Schizosaccharomyces pombe: one gene and its partners. The gene in region 2 interacts genetically with the main gene of each other region. Each region holds a gene or a part of one and is shown on either strand. Other genes may lie near its edges.

Region 1 (5,017 bases), on a different chromosome or scaffold from region 2:
TGCTAATTACATGACTTCTCTTCAATTTTGTCATTTTGCTCAAGAGTTATTCCAAAATTCCTCAAAGGTTAAAGTATTCGTTCACGATGAGAAGTGGATTGATGAGCAAAAGATGAACGGTTTACTTACCGTGAATGCTGGTTCCGATATTCCACCTCGTTTCTTAGAAGTACAATACATTGGTAAAGAAAAATCAAAAGATGATGGATGGCTTGGTTTAGTTGGAAAAGGTGTAACGTTTGACAGCGGTGGTATCAGTATCAAGCCTTCTCAAAACATGAAGGAGATGCGTGCTGATATGGGTGGTGCTGCTGTTATGCTTTCCTCTATTTATGCCTTGGAACAACTTTCCATCCCCGTGAATGCCGTGTTTGTTACCCCTTTAACTGAGAATCTTCCTTCTGGCTCTGCTGCTAAGCCAGGAGATGTTATTTTTATGCGCAACGGTCTTAGTGTAGAAATTGATAACACTGACGCTGAGGGTCGTCTTATTCTTGCCGATGCAGTTCACTATGTCTCTTCTCAGTATAAGACCAAGGCTGTGATTGAAGCCAGCACATTAACTGGTGCTATGCTAGTAGCCCTCGGTAATGTATTTACTGGTGCATTTGTTCAAGGAGAAGAGTTGTGGAAGAATCTTGAAACTGCTTCCCATGATGCTGGAGACCTTTTCTGGCGTATGCCATTTCACGAGGCTTACCTCAAGCAACTTACAAGTTCTTCAAATGCTGATTTGTGCAATGTTAGTCGTGCCGGTGGTGGTTGTTGTACAGCGGCTGCCTTTATTAAATGCTTCTTAGCCCAGAAAGATTTGTCTTTTGCTCATTTAGACATTGCCGGAGTTATGGATAAGCAGCTTAATTCTTGGGATTGTGACGGCATGAGCGGACGCCCAGTTCGCACTATTATTGAAGTCGCTCGCAAGTATTAGCTTATTTATTTTCTTGGCTATATGTGCAAACTTTATGTTTTTACTTATTTACTGTTGATTACACCAATCTCATTTTTCAATGTCCTTGTTAAGTGTATGTCAATGATATGTAGCTATCATGATTTTATTCTTTTTAATACTGTTTTCCACAACCGTTCATAACGGTTGTAAGGACCGAGTCTTTCTGATGGCTCTGGTTCTGTTTCCTTTAAAAATAAAATCAATTCGGTTGAAGTCTCATGTTGTTAAATTTCACTTTCGAAGTAGCGAATTTTTTTTTTCTATTTTGAATATAGATTTGTTTATTAAATGTAGTAATCAATTTACTCATGACTATTACTTTTGTCAAACAAAATCATAATACAAAACTAAATCTTTAAAGGTAGAATATTCTCCTGTGCGAGTTTACAATACTTTGGGATATGATCAAATCAATTTTTTTTAGATATCTGTTGAAATTTTTATAACAGTAATTTTGTATTATTTATCATACTATTTATTAGCGTTACCTGCCCTCTTAAATGTACACATCATGTGGGGGTGGGGGAACCAGTGCTGGAGATCACTTCTTGCTATACCGTTTGGCTCATGGCAACTATTGAGGATAGCAAGGAGCGTTACAATTTGCAAATCAATATGATAAACAGAAAAACAACAAGTTGAAGCTTAACACTGTAGCAATATAACAATGAAAAAAATAATCAGAATTAAAGCAAGAAGCCTATAAATGGTCCATCAATTGTGAAATCGATATTGCTAGATGTCAGGCAAATCGTGAACTCGGTTGAAAAATGTCGTTAATATTCATGTGAAATCATAATTACAGCAATATGTTCAAAGACTTTTGGATACTTTATAATAATGAGGATTCTATTTTTGAGTGGTCACATGGTCTCGTAACCATGAGGTACGCCTTACTTTTACGGACGAAACAATATTTCACATTCAGCTCTCAATGTTAAGTATCCAAACAAACATGGTACAAACCAATAAAGCATGTAAATTAATAAGCTTGAAATAAGGAATAGTCATTAAATTCAGTTTAGACATAATGTAAAAGGTATCAATTTTGTCTTTGGTATAGATACAATTAAGAATTTCGAGACGGAACGTTCGGTGATGTAGAGTTTTCATAATAATTTCTGCAGTTGCTTACACTAACCGAAGAATCGTCCAGTATAAACTGCTGACGATGCCTTAAATCAATAATTGCAAATTGCATAGTTGACGTTTTCCCGGGTGGCACATAGTGAGATTTGAGTCGAATAATGAAATAGCCTCTGACGAGTGGTTTCGTACCAAGAGTTTCAAAAAGAATAATCCACATTAACTCAATGTATCATTGATGACGGAATGTTGCTTATATAGCCAGAGTAACCCTGCTCTGAAGCATCTAAGGTTATATCTTTTTAACTTTTAGCTAGCAAACTCACTTGTTCCTTTAAGTTCAGAAAGTATCTGCTGGTTATTCAACAGATAATTATCTTGCGAAAAAGGAATACACACTCAGCATTGTAATTTGTTGAGTATATTTCACAAGCACATTAAATTGCATTATCAAACATGAGTGGGGATATTTTAGTCGGTGAATATCTATTCAAAAGGCTTGAACAATTAGGGGTCAAGTCCATTCTTGGTGTTCCAGGAGATTTCAATTTAGCTCTACTTGACTTAATTGAGAAAGTTGGAGATGAGAAATTTCGTTGGGTTGGCAATACCAATGAGTTGAATGGTGCTTATGCCGCTGATGGTTATGCTCGTGTTAATGGTCTTTCAGCCATTGTTACAACGTTCGGCGTGGGAGAGCTTTCCGCTATTAATGGAGTGGCAGGTTCTTATGCGGAGCATGTCCCAGTAGTTCATATTGTTGGAATGCCTTCCACAAAGGTGCAAGATACTGGAGCTTTGCTTCATCATACTTTAGGAGATGGAGACTTTCGCACTTTCATGGATATGTTTAAGAAAGTTTCTGCCTACAGTATAATGATCGATAACGGAAACGATGCAGCTGAAAAGATCGATGAAGCCTTGTCGATTTGTTATAAAAAGGCTAGGCCTGTTTACATTGGTATTCCTTCTGATGCTGGCTACTTCAAAGCATCTTCATCAAATCTTGGGAAAAGACTAAAGCTCGAGGAGGATACTAACGATCCAGCAGTTGAGCAAGAAGTCATCAATCATATCTCGGAAATGGTTGTCAATGCAAAGAAACCAGTGATTTTAATTGACGCTTGTGCTGTAAGACATCGTGTCGTTCCAGAAGTACATGAGCTGATTAAATTGACCCATTTCCCTACATATGTAACTCCCATGGGTAAATCTGCAATTGACGAAACTTCGCAATTTTTTGACGGCGTTTATGTTGGTTCAATTTCAGATCCTGAAGTTAAAGACAGAATTGAATCCACTGATCTGTTGCTATCCATCGGTGCTCTCAAATCAGACTTTAACACGGGTTCCTTCTCTTACCACCTCAGCCAAAAGAATGCCGTTGAGTTTCATTCAGACCACATGCGCATTCGATATGCTCTTTATCCAAATGTAGCCATGAAGTATATTCTTCGCAAACTGTTGAAAGTACTTGATGCTTCTATGTGTCATTCCAAGGCTGCTCCTACCATTGGCTACAACATCAAGCCTAAGCATGCGGAAGGATATTCTTCCAACGAGATTACTCATTGCTGGTTTTGGCCTAAATTTAGTGAATTTTTGAAGCCCCGAGATGTTTTGATCACCGAGACTGGAACTGCAAACTTTGGTGTCCTTGATTGCAGGTTTCCAAAGGATGTAACAGCCATTTCCCAGGTATTATGGGGATCTATTGGATACTCCGTTGGTGCAATGTTTGGTGCTGTTTTGGCCGTCCACGATTCTAAAGAGCCCGATCGTCGTACCATTCTTGTAGTAGGTGATGGATCCTTACAACTGACGATTACAGAGATTTCAACCTGCATTCGCCATAACCTCAAACCAATTATTTTCATAATTAACAACGACGGTTACACCATTGAGCGTTTAATTCATGGTTTGCATGCTAGCTATAACGAAATTAACACTAAATGGGGCTACCAACAGATTCCCAAGTTTTTCGGAGCTGCTGAAAACCACTTCCGCACTTACTGTGTTAAAACTCCTACTGACGTTGAAAAGTTGTTTAGCGACAAGGAGTTTGCAAATGCAGATGTCATTCAAGTAGTTGAGCTTGTAATGCCTATGTTGGATGCACCTCGTGTCCTAGTTGAGCAAGCCAAGTTGACGTCTAAGATCAATAAGCAATGAGCAAGCTATTGAGAGTGGAATTGGCAAACAAAGTTTCCTTTGATTTATATGTTTTTTATGATAAGCCCATTCAATTCATATAGTCTTTTAGTATAATGATTAGTTATTAAATTTATGTTTAAAGCAACTTTTTAGTTTAAAATTTTTCAAGTCAAGTTAGGGTGTACGTAAACAAACAATACCTTGGAAGCAATGAATGAAAAGGTAGAGTTAATCCAAACAATGTGGAAACCAGTTTCCTTGCATCTACTTACTAGTTTCGCAGAAAAATTGCTAAACTGCTTAAAAGCCAACTTTAACATTCTTATTTCTTACATAGGAGCTACCGTTCCATTCACATTGTGATATGCTAAGAATTTATTAGTTTTACAAAAATTGGGTGATTCTACTATTTAATACAGTGGTTTTGTAACGTAATGAAATTATAACGCTCGTTTATTACGATTTCCTAGGTAATGTAGCGGGTAAAGGCAATTGACTGATATTATGTATCACTCTATCACAGCAACGGACGAACGGTTTGCGTTGTTGTTTATAAATGGTTCTGCAACGCAGCTTCTGACTTTGACACTCTACACCACACCATACTTCAGCGCTCTATTCTTTCGCATAGGAAGGTAAGCTGCATTTCGTGGCGTTTGGTACCTTGAAAAAATATATTTTGGTTAATATTCGTTGGCTTTTTCTTTTAATTCTTGCTACTAATTCCAAGAATTGTGTAAGTATAGGAAGAGGCTGTGTTGATCGGTTAGTTTCGTAATTTCGGCATACTAGTGATTCCTAAAATACCGACTACTAATAATTATA
Region 2 (4,999 bases):
CATTACGGTTTGGAGAACCTAAAAAATCTTAAATTATGAATTCCAACGTAAATATATGAGGAAAATAAAGATGTGCCATGCTTTACATATTTTGAGCGAATCGACCAGCTATAAACAGTACTCATCAACACATTAGTGGTGAGCATACCGTACATGGAAAAGCAAAACATCCTTTTTTAATAATACAATTTTTTCTTATTAACTAAAATCCTTACCCGATTAGGTGGGTGTTGTTCATCCATTATCTGTGCTACATTTAGAGAGAGACCTCTTTCCAAATCGATTACACTTTCATTTTCTATGTTTACACATCACTCATTTGTAAATAGACCTTCTAACTGGACAATAAAATTTTCTCAGTTTTTAAATTAAAGAAATGGAGAGTATTATACAATATTGCATGAATTGAAAACATTGAAGCGAAAGAGCGTGAACAAGGATTTCATCCTAACTCGTAAAGCAAATGTTCATTCTGCCTCGTTTGACATATCAGACGGAAGTCAAATCAAAGTGGATTTAAATTATAAAATAACTTGAAGTTTCATTTTATCATGTTTGCAGATTTTATTTACATTTCATCTCCACATTCCAATTGTATGCACATATGCAATACCCACTGTTACTGGTTCCTTTCTTAACGAAAATTATCGCCGCATACTAAAAAATATTTAATTTGTTTATTGTGACTGTAAATTAATTTGTGTTTTTAGATCTTTTATCGGGTTTCTTCAGGACGGGCTTGATGACACTTCGATTGTTTACAGAATATATCTATAGTTAAATTATTTAAACAACATTAGCAAGTCCAACCTATAATAAGGAAAATAAGCTCACTCTGGAAGTTCTACTGGTTTGGCCGATAATGTTTTTAGCAACATGTAACAGCGTTTACTATTGAATTTGTTTAAATTTCTTAAATACCATTTTGATCATAGCAATTCTGTTCGGTTGCTTATAATATTGCTCTAAATTATTTTTTATTTCACTTACTTCTTCTGCGTTTTATTTCTTGCTGACTGTAAATATGGTTAAATTGTTTTCAAAAACAAAGTATCAAATTTTTTTTTGTGCTTCTTCAGCGGACAAATGAATAGTAAAAACTGAAAGCGTGCTTTTTTGTTGGTAATAATGTTTGATTTACTCTTTTTTTTTTTTTTTTTTTTTTTTTTTTTTTGGCTCAGACCTTCTTGCTCATAATGATCTGGGCCATAGTACATCAATTTTCGAAGACAGTAATAAAGCAATTAAAAAAAAAAATTTTCGCCATTGATTCAAACTCACATCAGTTATCAATTAAAAAATTTCTTTACAGTTAATTTCTGCTATATTATTTTATTGAACCTTTTTAAATTCATTCAACCATTACGGAAGACACTAAATTTCCTTAAAGAATGAGTTCTGAGCTAAAGGATCAGTGGCCAGCTTTAAGAATAAGATATATTACGGCAAAGTTTCAGAATTATCTAAATATAATTTAATATAAATACATTTAACGATTATATTATGTATAGTATTATAATCCAATTAATTAATGGTAGCATATAATGACACGCAAAAGGGCTTAGTGAAGTCTTGCTGCTGACAATAAAGTGCATATAATGTTAGCTTCGCAGTTTGGTATCTGATTTAAGGATACATAGAACTGCGGTGAGTTTTCCTTGTGATCTATTATATTACAATACACAGGTTGTATGAGTAGCAACTGAGTATAGGTATTGTATTAACTAGGTTATAATGTTACCTATCACTAATATATCTTATAACTGAACTGAGGGACGAGGTTCAGTTGTTCTCAATTTATAATATTTGAAGTAGTAAGAATTATATCTGATAGTTATCTTATCATGAATGATATTATATCTCCATCTTGATGACTTATCATGTAATAGTTGATAGAGCAAATAGAACATTGTGAACATGTGACATATAGTGATATGCAACGTGGAGTATCATTGCGTAGTGTAGTATTGCTGACAATAACGAACTAAACCAGTATATTGTTATCCTACGCTAGCACCAGACTCAGCTGAGTTTACCAAGTAGGGCGATGCGATGAAGCAAAAGCATTCATTGCTTTAACCATGATAGAATGTCGCTTGAATTACCAGGAAACTACCGACTTTCCAGGCTTAAATCAATACAAATAAGAAATGTTCAAGAAATTCAAAATCATAGCAAATTTGCGATCAATACGACGGAAAATTTGTGGAAACGAGATGTGCAGTTAAAACGTGCAATTTCCGAAGGAACTATTCGTATTTTTATATCATTGCATGTGCAGAGTAAGAAATTGCCTGTTTATATTACTGAAACGAGCGGAAATGCTGTATGTGAACATGCTTTGATAAACAAAAGTATCTGAATGGTATCATTATATCTAGGTTATTTGCTTGATTGAAAAGGTTAATCAGTTTGTTTATACAAGTGATTTGCCAAAATTTCGTTGCTCAAATCCTTGAAACAAAGCCCTCAATTGATAGTTTATACCTTGTATCTCTTTTACCCATATACAAATTTTGTATGTATTTATGTTCTTTGTGTCTAACCTCTCATTAGAATCACATCTTTTACGTCGATGAAAAAGTAACCGAAAAGCTTCAAAAATACCGTCACGAAGAGTACTTTATCGTGAGGACTTGGTGCTCATCAAGTAGTCATGCCTTCAAGCTACATAAAGAATGGAAAATTTTGAGATATGACAGTAATTTTCGTTATATTGGTAATGATGTACGGTTGAATATTTTTGGTTTACCTTATGTTTCCCTTGTGTTGACTAACATATTATTTGTAGCCTGTTTTTGCAGTTTGTCATATTCGAAACGGTCTTTTATGTGAATTTAATGATGGCGTTTACATCTACACAACATCCCAGTCTTCGGATATTATGAGACAGACCTCCTTTCCAAAAAGTGCCTCCACATATTCTATAGACAGGCGGAAGGATGGTTACACTATTCAGAAAATCACTCGAATTTTGAAACTGGCTGAATGCATAGATGAAATGCACATTGCTAAACATGAAATTCGAGCTCATTTTCAGGAGGAGGAGTTTCAGCAGATACGTTTGATGCACAAAAGGATGTTACTTCGGGATGAAAAAATCGATGAACTGGCTAAATTAGAACATCTTTGGCAAAAACAAATTAATAGCATCACTCAGATGAGGACGAAATTTGACAAGACGAAAAGCTGGTTATCCTCAAAAAGGAACACTTTGAACAAATCCAAAGAATCCCTTCAAAAAGATGAAGCTGAGTATGTGGAACTTGCCAATTCTTTAAAAACAAAAGTAGAGACCAATATAGAGATTCGAATCCTTATGGCACATGCTATTCGTATGCACGTTTCCCATCTTTCCAAAATTTACCCAATCCAACCATCGCCTGGCAATCATGACGAGTTTACAATTCGCAATCTCCGCCTATCTTTTGAGCCAGATAAAATTAATAATGTGGAAATGGCTGCTTCCATAGGATTTTTGGCGCATTTACTTCAAACTCTTTCAAAGTATCTCGAAAAAGAACTCGCTTATCCAATTCTTTGCGCATCTTCGAGATCCTCCATCCTGGATACATTGACACCCGACATCCCCACGCGTATCTTTCCCCTTTATCCAGCAACTCGACCAATTGAGCTTTTTGAACATGCCATTTATCTTCTCAACCAGGATGTAAATGATTTTTTAGAAACTTTTGGATTACCTATTGACCAATCCATGGACATACTCAGGAACTTTAAAAAACTGCTCCAATTTATTTTATCAGGACAACATCTATCTTTTGTACAAGTAACGTCTACCGCTCCTTAACAATTCCATAAGCTTAGGCACCATAAGCCTAAATTATCGTTAATTGCAAAACTACGCATAACTTGTCTATCGTTTAATTGTATCTTTTCACCCTAGTTTACTCTCAACAATCAATTTCGTTTTCGTATTCTTTGTTGGAAATTCATATACCCATTTCACGGTTTAATTTTAATCATCTTAATGAAGAGTTTTTATGGACATTTGCCGAAGGCATATTACTCATTGTCATTGCGACAACTACTATACAATGCATTTACGTTTAAAATATAAAAATAAACAGATAATGATGAATGTAGATATTATAAATAGTTCCCTTAAATTAATAAAACTTGTGAATTAAAAAATAAAAAGAGCCATGTTCATTTTTTGATAGTTATGTGATGGTGATCGAGCTCTTCCGGTTACATCCGACCCACATATTCTAGGTATAGGCAGGCGGAGCGGGTCCTACACTTTCAAAAACTGGCGGGCATTCTTCATCCCAACTAATACCTAAACCAGCTGGCGTGGTAAGTGGCTGAACGACTGATACTCGTAAGATACGGGCATTGCCCATATTGTTTCCCGCAACGTTCTTTTTTCTATTAACAATGGTCTCAAAAATTAAATGATGAGAGACTTTTAAGGAAAAAGGGGCAGGAATTTCCACGTCACAGCTTGGCTCTCTTAAAGAAGATGTGTTAATTTGAGTAGATAGAAACATCTGATTATCAATGAACTTCCATCCCGATTGTAAATCTTGTGTACTCAAAATTCTTTTTTCTTCAATAGGTCGAGGTTTTACCAAATCACGATGGCGTTCACATGGTTGACAACTAAACTGCATATGCTCCTCCAATCTCCAAGTAACTCTATTGATCTTCCAATCGTTGCCGTCATTTTGGGCAAAACCAGTCATGGTAACTTCCATAAGCGCAGCTCCATGAGGATGCAAGGTACTGGGCAAAGTAATGTTTGCAACAAGATTCGTAGGGGGAAAGATACGTTTATGGATGGTATCAGGCGAAGGAATGGCAGCTCGCTTTAGTTGGAGAGGAAACTTAAGAACTTCGGGCTTCGAGGGAGAAATTCCGCCTTCAGGAGTACCATAGCATAACGTAGCTTCTAAATAATACTCAAGCTTGATGTATCTGTTAGAAACCGAAGCAGGAAGCGAACCAGGGAAAAGCCAACTAAAAGGCCAATGCTGAG
Region 3 (5,348 bases), on a different chromosome or scaffold from region 2:
AAATTTAAGTAAAATTTTTTTGCTAGCATCTTAAAAAACTAAAGATTCAATGTCTTGTTGTGCATCACAATTTCTGAGTACATAACTACTGATGCTTGAGGGCTCTAATTTTCAAGCTAAATCAATAAATTTGTAAAGACTATTAAGGTCGTCATGATTTTTTAAGACTCTTAACACTATTTAATTGCCTACCGACGCATTAAAATGCTCTTTCGTGAACTAACAAAGACTTGGGTCTTTTTTGTTCAAATAAGCTACACTTCAAATGCTAGTTTTTTAAGAAAATTTATGGAGATTCTACTTTCAAAATTATTTATCTTGCAGATTTAGAATGTTCGAATTAGGCAGATTAGTTATATTCAATGCATAGGATGAATCATAAAAGTTGCTTCACTTTGATATTATTTAATATAGCTTCATTTGTTTGAGTTCGATATATTAAGATACAGATTGCTCTTTTTTATCATATTAACAAAGGTTGAAAAGAGGTCTTGATTGTAATGGTTTAAAATTTAAAATAACTAACATATGTAATTTTCCATACATCAAACATGTTTTACCTTAGGGGTTGCTATATTTAGTTTACCCAATTCAACTATATGCTTTATCTCAAATTTAATAAAATCGATGATGATTATTATGCTAACTGCCACAAGCGGTTAGAAGAGATATGACTCAAATATCGCAAGTGTAAAATGGACATTTAGGAGTTTTTGCTGACTTGATAAAAATATTCATACGAGTAAACAAAGGACTGGCACGCCTACATAATGTTGAGACGAGTGATTAATATGGTTTGGTTAATTAGGTGTATTATGAATGAAAGAAGTACTGAAAGTGAAATAGAGAAGCAACTGAAATTCACAGCTTTCTCTTTAAGAACGAACGAAAAAATGACAAAAAAGCTAAAAGAAACATATAAGTGCAGCAGAAAGCTGTCCATCCCTAAAATTACGGGTAAAGAATATTAAGGAAAAGGGGATCTAGGCGTTCTCTCTCGACTAGCAGTAAACGAAAGTCTGTCTGCGAGAACATGGCTTGAAGTGGTACGTATCGGGGGTCCATGCCACTTAGAGGGACTGCTCATTTCTAAATCATCAGAAAAATCTGCTATATCCTCATAACTTCCATTTGCAGACATAATGTACGGAGCCTTGCGACGTTGCAAGCGCAGAAGGAATTTTTTGAAACGTTGGCGCCTTTTCGGATCATACCCGAACAAAACCAAAGAGAACAGAAAGAATAAGCAGAAAATAAATGAAAGAATAAAGAACAATTTATTAGGAAATAACCTCATCCAATGTTTTGAAGGGGATGCGATTAGCTTTCCGTATGGGTCCATATAATAATTAGCATATTCCGGTTTTGCTAGAAGTTGCTGATTTGATGCATAAAGCAATACTTGGCCTAAGGTCCAGCTCACTTCGGTGCGTTCTATTTTTTCTAAACTCGTGAATGGAGAATGGTACGCAGGAATTACCGAGAGCCCATCCTTTGCATCATTACTACTTGTATTTGACTTGGGAACGTCGAATCCTTCATGAAGGACATTCAACGCCCATGATGCTTTAAAACAAAGCTTTTCAAGCTTGTTTTCATCAGTACTTGGAGTCAGCTCTTTATTATAAAGACGGGAAAGCATGGTTTCCCACTCTGTACCACAATACTCGTCAACTTTTTTGTAAAAATTAGGGAAATGATAGCTACCGCCCATATCAAACACATCATTAGTCGTATACCAAAATTCCGAGACCCCAACAAATTCAGTATTTGCAAAATCAACAGGAGGAATAGATATTCCATCAAAGTTACAAGGGTCCATGGAGCATGGCTTGTCTTTATTTAATAGATTGTAAGTCAGTTTCAAGCATTGTTTCAAATCTCCAGTACCGGCAAATTCGATCCCATCGATATCATAAGTTCGTCCACGCAAGGAACACGGATCGCTTAAAGTGTTGCCAACTTTTCCGTTTTCGCTTTCTATTAACAGTCCCAAATACCTGCGGTAAGCTTCATTAGCGCCAAAACCGAGCCAGGTAGTAACAAACAAAGGATATTCCAATTGCTGACCATTTTGTAGTCCTATGTGAACGGTCGAAATACTATCCTTGTAATTTTTGAGCTGAGATGGGGGAAGTTCAAAAGCAATTTGCACACTCGCACCGCCCATATCTAAAAAACCAACCGTTGACGTATCTTTTTCTTCAAGTGTCTTAAGGAGATAGTTCGTAGCTAGCCAACCATACATACCTTCAGCTTTGCCATCAATTACACGGATTGAATTTGAGCAATTAGGTATGTCGAAATCGTAATTCTTTTTAATATATCTACAAGCATGCGAAAGTATTTTGTTTTGGGCATCAACGCCCAGTAAACGCATACCAGCTGTAGCACTTAGGAAAACCGGAGTTTCTTTATGTACATCTTTGGGAATAGCATGAGCAGCAAAATCCAGGAGTTCTTTCAAATGCTTCTTCCCTACATGCTTAGGGTTATTGGCAAAGGAAGAAATTCCAGGTTGAACCTTTAAAGACCATTTACCACCATCCCCAATCCCTGTCTCGATTAATGGTAATTTTTTTACTTTATCACTTAAAGAGGAATCGGTATCATAGTCCCAAGAATAAATTAGAAGTCTTGAACCACTAGATCCAGCGTCGATGAAAATTCCATACTTTCGAACCATTTTTAGCCACCTGCACTTATTTTTCTTAACAAAATGTCTCTTTGTCTATAAGACTGGATATTAAATAACTTCGACTCTGAAGATGGATATTTTCATCAAACCAGCCCAATTTGCCTTTTGTTTGTTGATGGTTGAAAGCGCACTATGGCGATGTGAACAATTTCAATATGGCATATGTTCCCAAGATATACATCAATAAAATTCAGTTAAATATATGTATCTGTCTTATCAATGAACCTCTATTTAACTTAATTGAAACATTGAATGAACGTTTGTAGTGGATTATGAACATTCAACTCAATGTTTAACAACTAGCGAATGTATAGGTAGCACATTTTTAGGTGGTAAATCACTATATAGTGAACTCTGTCAAAATGCAAAAAAAGTAAATTGAGACGAATTTAAGGACCCATTCATACGGACTATTGGAATAATCACATTAATTTTGGTCACTTGACTTAAAAGATAATGCGACTAGAATTAAAGAGAAAAATCGAATACGCGAAAACTTTTTGATTTGTCTCTTTAATTTGCTTAGATGTCAAATACTGTTAGTACCAACAGATTGACAATGTTTTGATAACAATCATCAACAATTTACTTCAGAACTGTTTTAATAGAGAAAATAATTGTATCCTTCAAATTTCAACGGTTTAACACTGTTTAAGATTTAAAATGTCATTTACTTACAAGTATTTCATGCACTTTGCTTTAAGATCACAGTAACGGTTCTTCGTAGAGATATTTGACGGCTTTCAGTTCGCATTCTATATTAACTTGTGTTTTAAAGTTTTGATTGAGAGAACGTTTATCCCATTTGACGAACATTTAGATAATTGATCAGTTATCTAGACGGGAGAAATGAAAAATATTTAAACTCGTATGAACAATAAATAACACAAATGCAATGCATCCAAAAAAAATTATAAAATCCATTTACAAACCATAACCATATCACATAACACGAAAACGAGTAGAATTTTAATCCAATTCAATACTCAGAAACTTAGAGGTTTTTTAATTGTCTAAAAATCCAAAGATTTAACAGGCTGTTTTTGAGGATTCGTGTTTGAAATCTTCGTATCCTTTTGCTCATCATCCAGTGGAGGAAGGACCCATGGTTCAATGGTAAATCTTCTTTTCGATACAGTAAATGAGAGGTCTCCAGCTTCATTAGAGTTTGCATGATTGGTAAATGGAAGTGCTAAGGGAAGCTTATGGATACGGAAAAGTCCTAATGGTTGTGTAACTAAACCGTTAACAGTTTCTTTGACCGGGAAAGGATGCAAAGAGAATACGGCGGATGCAAGGTTTTCTAGCCAAAAAATTTGCTCGCAATCTCTTGAAAACAAAGTAGAAGGAACTGAACACATACATATCAAGTGCACCGAAGTAGTGCATTTGATGAGCGATGAAAGTGTGTGAATAAATCTTATGAAATGCTGCGGATGAGTAGCACGGATAGAATAGAAGGCTGGGGACAAAATGGATGGAAGAACTAACCTGCATACCGTACCTGGAGTCAGAGTAGATAAGAATCTCGTTAGACTTTCAATGACAGGGGCGTAAGGATTAGACCCTGTTTCCAAAGGGAATGGAGAAACAGCGTATTTCATATCGCTTTTCACTATCAAATTCTTTGACAAATCAAAGGAGTGAGTATAGCCAGGAGGAATCATATCAAGGGTCGGTGCCTTGGTTTTGGAGACTTGTTCATACCTCCAGGCAATTTTCATTCTTTCTTGCTGGGGATTTTTAGAGGGAGGAGAAGAATGATTATCCTCTCCAGCTGAATTTTCGTTTTTATTAGGCCGGTCGCTGTCGCCTGGAAGTTGACGAAACCACATCTCTCCAATAGATGGACCAAGCCAAATAACATGGTCCTGTTTAAGGCCTTCCGCTGCAAAAAATTTAAGTAGCACAGAAGCATAATCCATCGAATCTTCCTCTATAACCAGCAAACTTTTCATTGGAATGCCGCCAGACAAATAGTAGTCAAAAGAAGAACTCCCAGAGCTTGTAATCCATCTAGCATCCTTTGAAGATAGTCTAACGCCTGTCGGCAAGTTTGTTGGTGCTATTTGAGGTGCTGCTTTCCTTTTGAACGACATCAATACTTATTTCGATTGGTGTACGTGGAATAGCAAATTGGATGGAAAGGTTAACGCGACGCAAATTTGCAGCACACATTTAAGCATCATCAGTCAGAAAACAAAGAAATTCAGCGTTGCGATTGAGAAAATAAAAAATTGTTGACTAAAGTTAATCATTCAATAAAAATACCTTTTAGATAAATTTTGTTGAACTAATAATAAAATTTCACTAGTGGGCGCATTGAAACAAAAATAATATTGTAATACTACAAAATAACATAGAAAATGTTACGTCGTACAGTCAATTAGCATGATCGGAAAATGTATTACTGTTGTATTTTTGAAGATTACTTTCAATCCGAATCTAGTTGGACAAGACTTATGAGAAATTTAAGTCAACTCAAAGTACAATCTATTCATATTTTATTTTTAAGATCAGGAGAATCTGATTGCTAAAGATACAATTTAATTAGCTCTTCGCTTACCCCACTCTTCGAATCAATGATCCCTAAATCGGTAATGAGACCTGAGACAAATTCGGGTGGTGTAACATCCAAAGTAGGATTATT

Evidence for each region. Genes that interact genetically often act in the same process or in processes that back each other up.
Region 1: mutations in vps38 (region 2) and pdc202 together harm fitness more than expected from each alone (negative genetic interaction), as found in Schizosaccharomyces pombe (one large-scale study listed by BioGRID).
Region 3: mutations in vps38 (region 2) and ynd1 together harm fitness more than expected from each alone (negative genetic interaction), as found in Schizosaccharomyces pombe (one large-scale study listed by BioGRID).

Annotation. Positions count from the first base shown.
Region 1 is NC_003424.3:583,103-588,119, forward strand, and holds pdc202 (pyruvate decarboxylase), read left to right. Parts: upstream 1-2,494; coding exon 2,495-4,210; 3' UTR 4,211-4,393; downstream 4,394-5,017. Other genes in the region: ysp2 (peptidase family M17 cytoplasmic leucyl aminopeptidase yspII (LAP yspII)), read left to right, coding at 1-931.
Region 2 is NC_003423.3:1,804,173-1,809,171, forward strand, and holds vps38 (phophatidylinositol 3-kinase complex subunit Vps38), read left to right. Parts: upstream 1-2,058; 5' UTR 2,059-2,089; coding exon 2,090-2,326; intron 2,327-2,556; coding exon 2,557-2,727; intron 2,728-2,791; coding exon 2,792-3,808; 3' UTR 3,809-4,145; downstream 4,146-4,999. Other genes in the region: arrestin-related substrate adaptor Any1, read right to left, coding at 4,230-4,999. UniProt on the Schizosaccharomyces pombe protein: Involved in endosome-to-Golgi retrograde transport as part of the vps34 PI3-kinase complex II. Mediates the interaction between atg6 and the pik3-ppk19 core complex, leading to the recruitment of atg6 to the membrane.
Region 3 is NC_003421.2:1,459,542-1,464,889, forward strand, and holds ynd1 (nucleoside diphosphatase Ynd1), read right to left. Parts: upstream 2,966-5,348; 5' UTR 2,687-2,965; coding exon 968-2,686; 3' UTR 625-967; downstream 1-624. Other genes in the region: elongator complex subunit Elp4, read right to left, coding at 3,712-4,797; translation initiation factor eIF2B alpha subunit Gcn3, read right to left, coding at 5,232-5,348. UniProt on the Schizosaccharomyces pombe protein: Catalyzes the hydrolysis of phosphoanhydride bonds of nucleoside tri- and di-phosphates. Required for Golgi glycosylation and cell wall integrity. Involved in N-mannosylation of proteins in Golgi.